2 linked regions of the Oryzias latipes genome follow. The protein of the gene in region 1 interacts with the protein of each later gene in a biochemical or structural test. Links are inferred from orthologs where the notes say so. Each region holds a gene or a part of one and is shown on either strand. Other genes may lie near its edges. The genes, in order: ccnb1 and zc3hc1.

Region 1 (3,920 bases):
CTGATCCTCTTTGAGGTCACTGGATCCTTTGGTGAAGGCTGTACACACTCCAGATGGGTTACCAGTCCATTGCAGGGCCACACAGTCACAGACATTGTGAATCATCAATTAACCTAAATATGTTTGCACATGCCTGAGTGCCAGGATAAAACCCACACATGCTTGGGGTAAACTTGTAAACTTGACTCAGAAAAGACCCGGCTGGGATGTGAGCCAGGCCCTACTGAGGCAAAAGAACAAATCACTACACCACTGTTCTACTTTAGTAGCGAATACAGGACTAATGAGCTTTTTTGTAAAAAGAAAAAGATATATATATATGCATTCTTTTGCACGGAGGGATTCAAACATGTTTTAACATAAAAAATGACAATAAACTGAGAAAATCATTAAGTGTCAGAATAAAATCATTTTTAGGGCAACATTCAATTCTATTAGCAATAAGTGGTAGACTTTGAGTTTATTTGATTAAGTATAACTGAGCATAACAAGTATAGCCGGTATACACATGTAGTGTAGGGAATATACTAACTGAATACATCTATAGACTAAATTGGAACATTTTAAGTTTACTATATATACATTTATCTTCTTCCGTTTTGTACCTTTTGGGGTCACAGGGCTGCCGAAGCCTTTCCACATGTTACGGGCAAAGGCAGGGGACACCCTGGACAGGTCGCCAGCCCAGTCTGTCTAAGTTTAAAATATATAGATATAAAAAGTAAACTTCAAGTCCACTGCCTCACTTTTAGCCTACTTGAAGTGCATTTAAGGATACTAAATTTTGTTAACCCTTAACAGATTTTGTACTTTCTACTATACATACATCCAACCTATAGCAGCATGCTTGGTAAAATGATGCTCAAGTATACTTAAAAAATAAGCTTCAGTGTACTGTTTGTTTTTGTAAAGGATTGTTTTTGAGATCCTCTTGATTCTTCTTCTTTTTGTTTTGCGTTAAAAAAGTGTTTTCCTTGTTTAGATGCAAACAATAAAGTAGTGTATGTTTTTATCTACAAATGTTTTTATTTTAATAGCTCTAGAAGAACGGAGTTAGATATCCGGGTAAGGGAAGTGACCTAAGAAGAGCGTGATCACGTGACCCAAAGTTGTCTTGGGAGCGCATCTGACACGTACTCGTTTATCCAATCAGAATCGCCGCAGCCGCCCAGCGCAGCCAATCGGTTTGCAGCGAGCGAGGATTTAAACCACGACTCGTGCGTTGGAATCTTCACCTTCTCCGCTTCAATTTCGTGGTTGTTTGTGGAAGAGAAGCAGGCAAAGGCATGGCTCTGAGAGTTACCAGGGTAAGTCTGAACCACGTTACACGTTCCTCTCTGTTTTTACCGGAAAAGAACGATTTCAGGAAGCGCGTCTTTCTCTGGTTTTAAATGTTTTGACGTGTTTTCTGACTGGACTGTCATGTGGCTGTATGTGAGCGGAAGCTAGAGGTCAAATATTGTTGGCTTGAATTTATTGAACGTGCTGCTTCACCACTGCAGGTTTATCTCGAGCGCGCCTTGTTTTGTCCGTTTTCTCGCTGCAGAACCGACTGGCCTCCACCCGGGCCGAACTGGGCGGAAAGACGTGCTCGGTGGCCGGGCCTACACAGAAGCCCCGCGCGGCCCTCGGAGAAATCGGAAACGTCGCAGTTATTAACAAAGATGTCACGAAAAAGGTAAAATCTTTTTTTTTTTTTTTTAAAAATCCTATATAAATGTATTTTCCACTTATCGAAGTAAAGTGATTAACCTTTTTTTGGGGCAAGTTTGGTGTAGAAGTGAGGGGTTGGGCCTGTTCTGATGAGAAAATGTCTACTGTGCTGAACTGGGGCCCTTAGTCAAGTATAAAATGCATCCCAGGTTGGAGGAGCACAGTTAACCTGGAACTATGTCTAAGAATGTACACCATCAATTGTAAATTTAAATCTTTGCTAAAAAAACAACAACTTGAGTTTGAATGCACATTTGTTAAGAGAAACTCTTGTTACTGCTGTACTATCAGCTCAATGCGCAGAGCTTCAAAACCTGTACAGCTAGGACTTGTGGCTTTGGCCTGCAGCTGTAGAGATTTCCCAAACTGTGCAAGAAGCAAAGAACTCAAATGAAAAGATCCCAGCTCTGTAAAATGCATAGCAGTATTTGGGTTTGACCTTTCTTTCTTCAGACTATCAAGACGGAGGTTGCTAAGAAGACAAAGATCCCAGCTAAAGCTGAGAAGATCGAGCTACCAAAAGCTGCTGTGGTCCCTGTTAAACCAGCACCTGAAGTGCAGGTGACTGAGGTGAGTTGGTGTCATTGGTTGTCACACACCTGGTTGGGACATTTGTCCTGCGTGGTTGACCCATCCTCTGGGGGCAGCAGTGAGCTCCAGGCATGGTTGTGCTTCGGAGCCATATGGTGGGTTAACCACTCCCAATCCAACCCCTTACAGACCCACTCTGATTGTGGCCTCTTTCTTATAAAAGATTCATCTAAAGAAAATGAGATTGAAATTTCATTTCTGATTACTTTATTCAAATGTTGTGAATTGAGAAAAAAAATGCTGTTTGTTTGGATAAGGGCTTATTTGTGAGGTAGAAAATCCCACCGGCAGGTCACCAGCTCCCTTCTGATGTGTCCACTTGAATCAAGCAGGGAGGCTTTGGTTCCATCCGAAGTCTTTGCTGTGACTCCACTGGTTTTGAACCCTCTGCCTACCAGTCTTGGGGCAGACGCTCTACCACTAGGGTGACGTGTAATGATTTGACATGACCTTCTCACAGGTGCCAGCCCAGGCTGAACGTGCATCCCCCACCCCCATGGAGACCTCTGGATGTGAGTCTGCTGACCTCTGTCAAGCATTTTCAGATGTCATCCTCAACACGGCCATCAGGGACGTGGATGCAGATGACTACGACAACCCCATGCTCTGCAGTGAATATGTTAAGGACATCTACAAGTACCTCCGTCAGCTTGAGGTCGGACTAAAACCCGGAAAGCTGCATTCCTGATGTGTGCCGTTTCCCTAAAGAGACGTTTGTTCTCCTGTAGATGGAGCAGAGCGTAAAGCCAAACTACCTTGAGGGTCAGGAGATCACCGGAAACATGCGAGCCATCCTCATTGACTGGCTGGTACAAGTGGGCCTCAAGTTCCGTCTGCTGCAGGAGACCATGTACATGACTGTGGGAATAATCGACCGCTTTCTTCAGGTGAGTCTGTCAGTGTTCCTCTACAGACTAGATGTGCTCCATAATTCAATAAAAAAAAATAATTTCATAACAGATGTCCTCTAACTGACTTGTGTGCTGAGATTTTTCTTTTATTTTGTCTGCGGTCCTTTCAACAGGACCATCCAGTCCCCAAGAAGCAGCTGCAGCTGGTTGGCGTGACCGCCATGTTCCTGGCCTCCAAATACGAGGAGATGTACCCTCCGGAGATCTCAGACTTTGCCTACGTGACGGACAGGGCTTACACCACTGCTCAGATCAGAGACATGGAAATGACTATTCTGCGAGTGCTGAAGTTTCAGCTGGGCCGCCCCCTCCCGCTGCAGTTCCTCAGAAGGGCCTCCAAGATCTATGAGGTGTGGCGCGGTGTCGGTGCGGCAAACTGTTCTCTTCCACCACTGCATGTGCTGAGGTGAAGGTGGGATTTTATTTTTCTTCAGGTAACTGCTGAACAACACACCCTGGCCAAATACCTGCTGGAGCTCTCCATGGTTGACTACGACATGGCTCATTTCCCGCCCTCATTGGTGGCGAGTGCAGCTCTGGCGCTGACTCTCAAGGTCCTGGATGCAGGGGAATGGGTGAGTGACACTTGAAGGGTTTGCTCTCATCGCTGACTTGCCTGGGACAGCATTGGATATGAATGTCTTCCTTCCCAGGATGTGACACTGCAGCATTACATGGAGTACACAGCAGAGACCCTGACACCTG
Region 2 (3,920 bases), on another chromosome or scaffold:
GGAAAAAAGGCATTAAATACAGATACATAATGTATACATTACATTAAAAAAATAAAATTAAATGAGATATATTAGATAAATTTAATTACAAAAATACATTAAACACCCATTATTATATACACGTAATGTTCCTTACGGAACAATGGTTTAAAAGTGCGAAGAAAAAACCAAAACAGAGGGTTGATAGCATCGTTGCTAATGTTATGAACCGACCTGCTAGCAGCCCTTCGTGCGGCGGCCTGCCAATCAGTCTCTCGAATTTATTCAGCTGATCTGAACAGTGAAACCTTTCGGCGTCCGACATCGTGTCCCCTTCACAACCCTGTCCTCTTCGATGTCACGTCGAATATAAAACACGTCTGCCAAAACGCTGCTGAAACATTTCACATCTCAGGCAGGTTTGAAGCCATTCACTGTTTTTCTTTCCACCCCGGCAGTGACACACTTGACCAATCGCTGAGCTTGTTACCAGGACGTTGCGTCTTCAGGAAAACGGAACTGCCGCCATATTTTATTTTATTTTATTTTATTTTATTTTATTTTATTTTATTTTATTTTATTTTATTTTATTTTATTTTATTTTATTTTATTTTATTTTATTTTATTTTATTTTATTGAATGTAGACGTAAACTTATAATTTAAAAATATGTATAAAAAATGAAGAAATATAAAAATGCAAATACAATTATTAAATTAATTTGTAGTAAATTAATCAAATTAGAAATAATTTAATGTTTTTACTGAATAAAAACATTTAATTTATTTAGCATATATTATTTTAATAAATTCATACATAAATGTAAACATATATAGTGTTTGAATTTAAACACTCACACTTTAAATTGCAAACACTCACACTAAGTCTTTAAATGTAAACACTAAATTTAAATTTTAATACTCAAACGTCGTTACATTTAAATTAGATCTAAATTTAAATTAGTTTTATTTTGGTTTTGTTCAACAGTGAGTCACAATTTTAGCGTATTGTGAAAGTTCTGGTAGCTTTTGCTGACAATGTGATCTATGTTCTACAAAAATCATCCACATAAAACGTACCTGTATAATATCATTTATACGTCGTTGAAATATCTAGCGGTCAACTGCATATGACAAAGATTTTACACCAAAAATGTCCTGTTTGTTTACTGCGTTTGTGGCTCTGGTGAAGCGGAACAACTTTTTTCCGGGATGTGTTTCTCTGGGGATTTTTGTCAGAGCCGACCATGGCGAATATCGGCGGCAGTCGCGGGGACCGTCTCGGCAATTCTAACCACCTAAAGTCTTCTTTTGCATCTCCGGAAAAAGTTCGTGAACTCCTCAGCGAAGGAGTATCATTACCGGAGATTGGGTCCAACAGGTGGCGTTTTAAACTACCAGTTTATTTTTTTTTTTGGAAAAATCTAAGTTGACGGTAGCTGACTGGGTTAGCCACGTCTTAGCTTAGCATCTCACCTCGAACGTATTCATAGTTTTGCTGGAGGGGTTTTTCAAGTCTGCACAGAGCTGAGAGTTTGACAAACGAGCCCGAGTTTCTGTACTCATACGGTTGCAATGATGTGGATTAAATAAATTATTCAAAAATGTGTTTTTATAGCCTTATGCTGCAGCTGTTGTTAGCCGGGGTCCAGCAGTTAGTTTGCAGTTATGTATGTATGCTAAAAATAACCACAAGAATCACAGCAACTATTTCCGTCTAGCAAATTGATCAGAAAACATTGTGTACAAAATGGTCCATTGGATATTTTGTGTTTTGTAAAAAGGACTTATGTTTTATGTCTTGTTTCAGTGAACAAGGGGACTTAAAAGTTCTGGAAGTTAAAGACAACACTCAAACACCGTGTGAAGCAACAAACAAAGAAGCATTTTTCTCAAGAGTGGAATCCTATTCTATATCCTTCCTTCATATTATATATTTATTAATGGACAACGTTTATTTTTTGTTTTAAATACATATATACATTGCTTCCATGTGATTTGTTAAAATGCACCGTTTTTTAAACATAATCAAAATACACATTTGTAATTGCTAACACAAGCTGCCTATTATTTAGGGTCCTCTTTTCCTTAATATGTCACTGTTTGAGATGGGCAGGCAAACCCCGTGCACTTTCTCCTCTGATGTGTGCCAGATATGGTTGGATCAATGTTGGTTGTGACATGCTGAAGTGCTCCAGCTGCCAGGCTTTCCTTTGTGCATCACTACAACCAACGTTAGACTTTAAGAAATGTAAGCTCAAACTTGAAGCAATATGGCGACGGTAATGGTGCTGGCCTGCCAAAATGAGATGTCAAGCTGTTCTGTTCTTTTAAATAGATGAAAGCCGCATTGCAGAGATATTGAGACAACTACAGACTCAGCATGAGAAGTTTTGTCCTTGGCCTGACTTTCCATGTCCAGGTAGAAGCAACCATTTTGTCTGGAGCAAACTTACAACAAACATACAATCCACTACTCCGTCTGTTTATTAACCATCAGCATGATGGTCGTAATAAATATAAGTATTTCTGTTTATCCAGAGAGATTCTGGCTTGTTCCAGCCTCTGAACCGTCAACGCTGCTTGCTGCCTTTTTGGAACGTTTCCAGAGTGCCTGTCTCCTTGCTCAGCAGCTGCCAGCCATGAGGCCAGAGCAGCTGAAGTCTATGGTAAAGGGCTTTATTTAAAGAACACTTGTGCCAGCTTAAATTTCAGAAGGACTTAGATAAAAACATCAATTATTATCAAGGGAATGTGATATCATTAAGGGTTCATTAAAGAAATTGCTTTATTAACATATGAACTATTTTTAACAAGACAATAACAGCTATTATTTGTGGTCTTTTTTCCCCCCAGTCTTTGACAGAGGATGTCATCAGTAATATACTGCAACTGATTGAGGAAGAGCTAAAAATAAAGGGATGCAGTCCATGCTCTGAACCATTGTCTGTTCAGGTGGCTGCATGCGTCGTTTCTCTTTGTGGTTGGGCAGCAAGGTGAGAGTTGTTTCAGTAAAAAAGGTGCATTTCTAAAACACAAGGTTATTTGGTGGAATTTGGGTCCAAAATTAAATTTCTTTCATCTTAGTCCAGCTTTACGTGCCATGAACCTGCCAATCCTGACCTGCTCCTATTGCATGCGGAAGGTGGGTTTGTGGAATTTCCACCAGATGGAAGAAATCGGAGGTGAGGCAGAGACGGTACCAAGCTCTGCAGGACCCTCTGCTCATGGAACAGGTTCTGTCTTAGGGGGCTGCAGCGACAGCCAGGCAGACCCTGCCTCGTCCACTCATGCGGCATCTCCATGCCGCATGAAGCTGAGGAGCCAGGACTCCATACGCTCCGACCAGGCAAGCATTCTTGTGTTTGTTGCTCTGTGGTAAGGTTGAGGCTTTTCTATGCCACATTTGCTTCAGTAGACATGACCCTCTTCTCCCGTTTGGAGAAGGATTTTCACAAACTCACTGTTGATGGTGTAGGAAGTGATTACAGAAATTCTACCCTCATTGTCATCTCTAGTTTATTAGAGGATATAATGTAAAGAGCCACAATGAACTGCCTCCCACCATACCAAAACCCTTTTGATCCTTCAACTCCTTTTTATCAGACTTTTTCATATTTTTGTTTTCTGTTGCAGGTTGAGGGGACCTCCTCCTCCCCCACTGCATTACGAGCCAAAAGCAGAGACTCACCCAGCCCCAGTGATGACTTGCTAAGTCCTCTGACGAGGGGCAAGAGGCCTGCAACTCGAAGTCGAGGACATGGAGATAATTCGGGGGCCGACGGCTCCACCAGCCTCCATCCTCCCAAACGCTTGTGCTTCTCAACAGTTGGTGGTCCTGTAAGAACAATCATTACTTCTTAGTTCCTGTCTTGCTTTTGATTTGGATGCTTCATAGTCTTTTTCTATGGTGAATCAGCATTTGTAAGATTTTTGAATTTCA

What was found.
Region 2: of the proteins of ccnb1 (region 1) and zc3hc1, one has a biochemical effect on the other in vitro, tested with the Homo sapiens proteins (3 studies listed by BioGRID, with this or other methods). The link is inferred for Oryzias latipes from reciprocal best matches to the Homo sapiens genes CCNB1 and ZC3HC1.

What each region holds. Positions count from the first base shown.
Region 1 is NC_019870.2:25,679,534-25,683,453, forward strand, and holds the start of ccnb1 (G2/mitotic-specific cyclin-B1), read left to right. Parts: upstream 1-1,198; 5' UTR 1,199-1,286; coding exon 1,287-1,307; intron 1,308-1,546; coding exon 1,547-1,678; intron 1,679-2,166; coding exon 2,167-2,283; intron 2,284-2,764; coding exon 2,765-2,959; intron 2,960-3,032; coding exon 3,033-3,191; intron 3,192-3,328; coding exon 3,329-3,565; coding exon of another isoform or gene 3,566-3,625; exon of another isoform or gene 3,626-3,649; coding exon 3,650-3,790; intron 3,791-3,868; coding exon 3,869-3,920. UniProt on the Homo sapiens protein: Essential for the control of the cell cycle at the G2/M (mitosis) transition.
Region 2 is NC_019881.2:14,718,746-14,722,665, forward strand, and holds the start of zc3hc1 (nuclear-interacting partner of ALK), read left to right. Parts: upstream 1-1,198; 5' UTR 1,199-1,224; coding exon 1,225-1,358; intron 1,359-1,787; coding exon 1,788-1,890; intron 1,891-2,077; coding exon 2,078-2,228; intron 2,229-2,315; coding exon 2,316-2,399; intron 2,400-2,518; coding exon 2,519-2,646; intron 2,647-2,833; coding exon 2,834-2,973; intron 2,974-3,064; coding exon 3,065-3,326; intron 3,327-3,613; coding exon 3,614-3,817; intron 3,818-3,920. Other genes in the region: klhdc10 (kelch domain-containing protein 10), read right to left, coding at 214-304. UniProt on the Homo sapiens protein: Required for proper positioning of a substantial amount of TPR at the nuclear basket (NB) through interaction with TPR.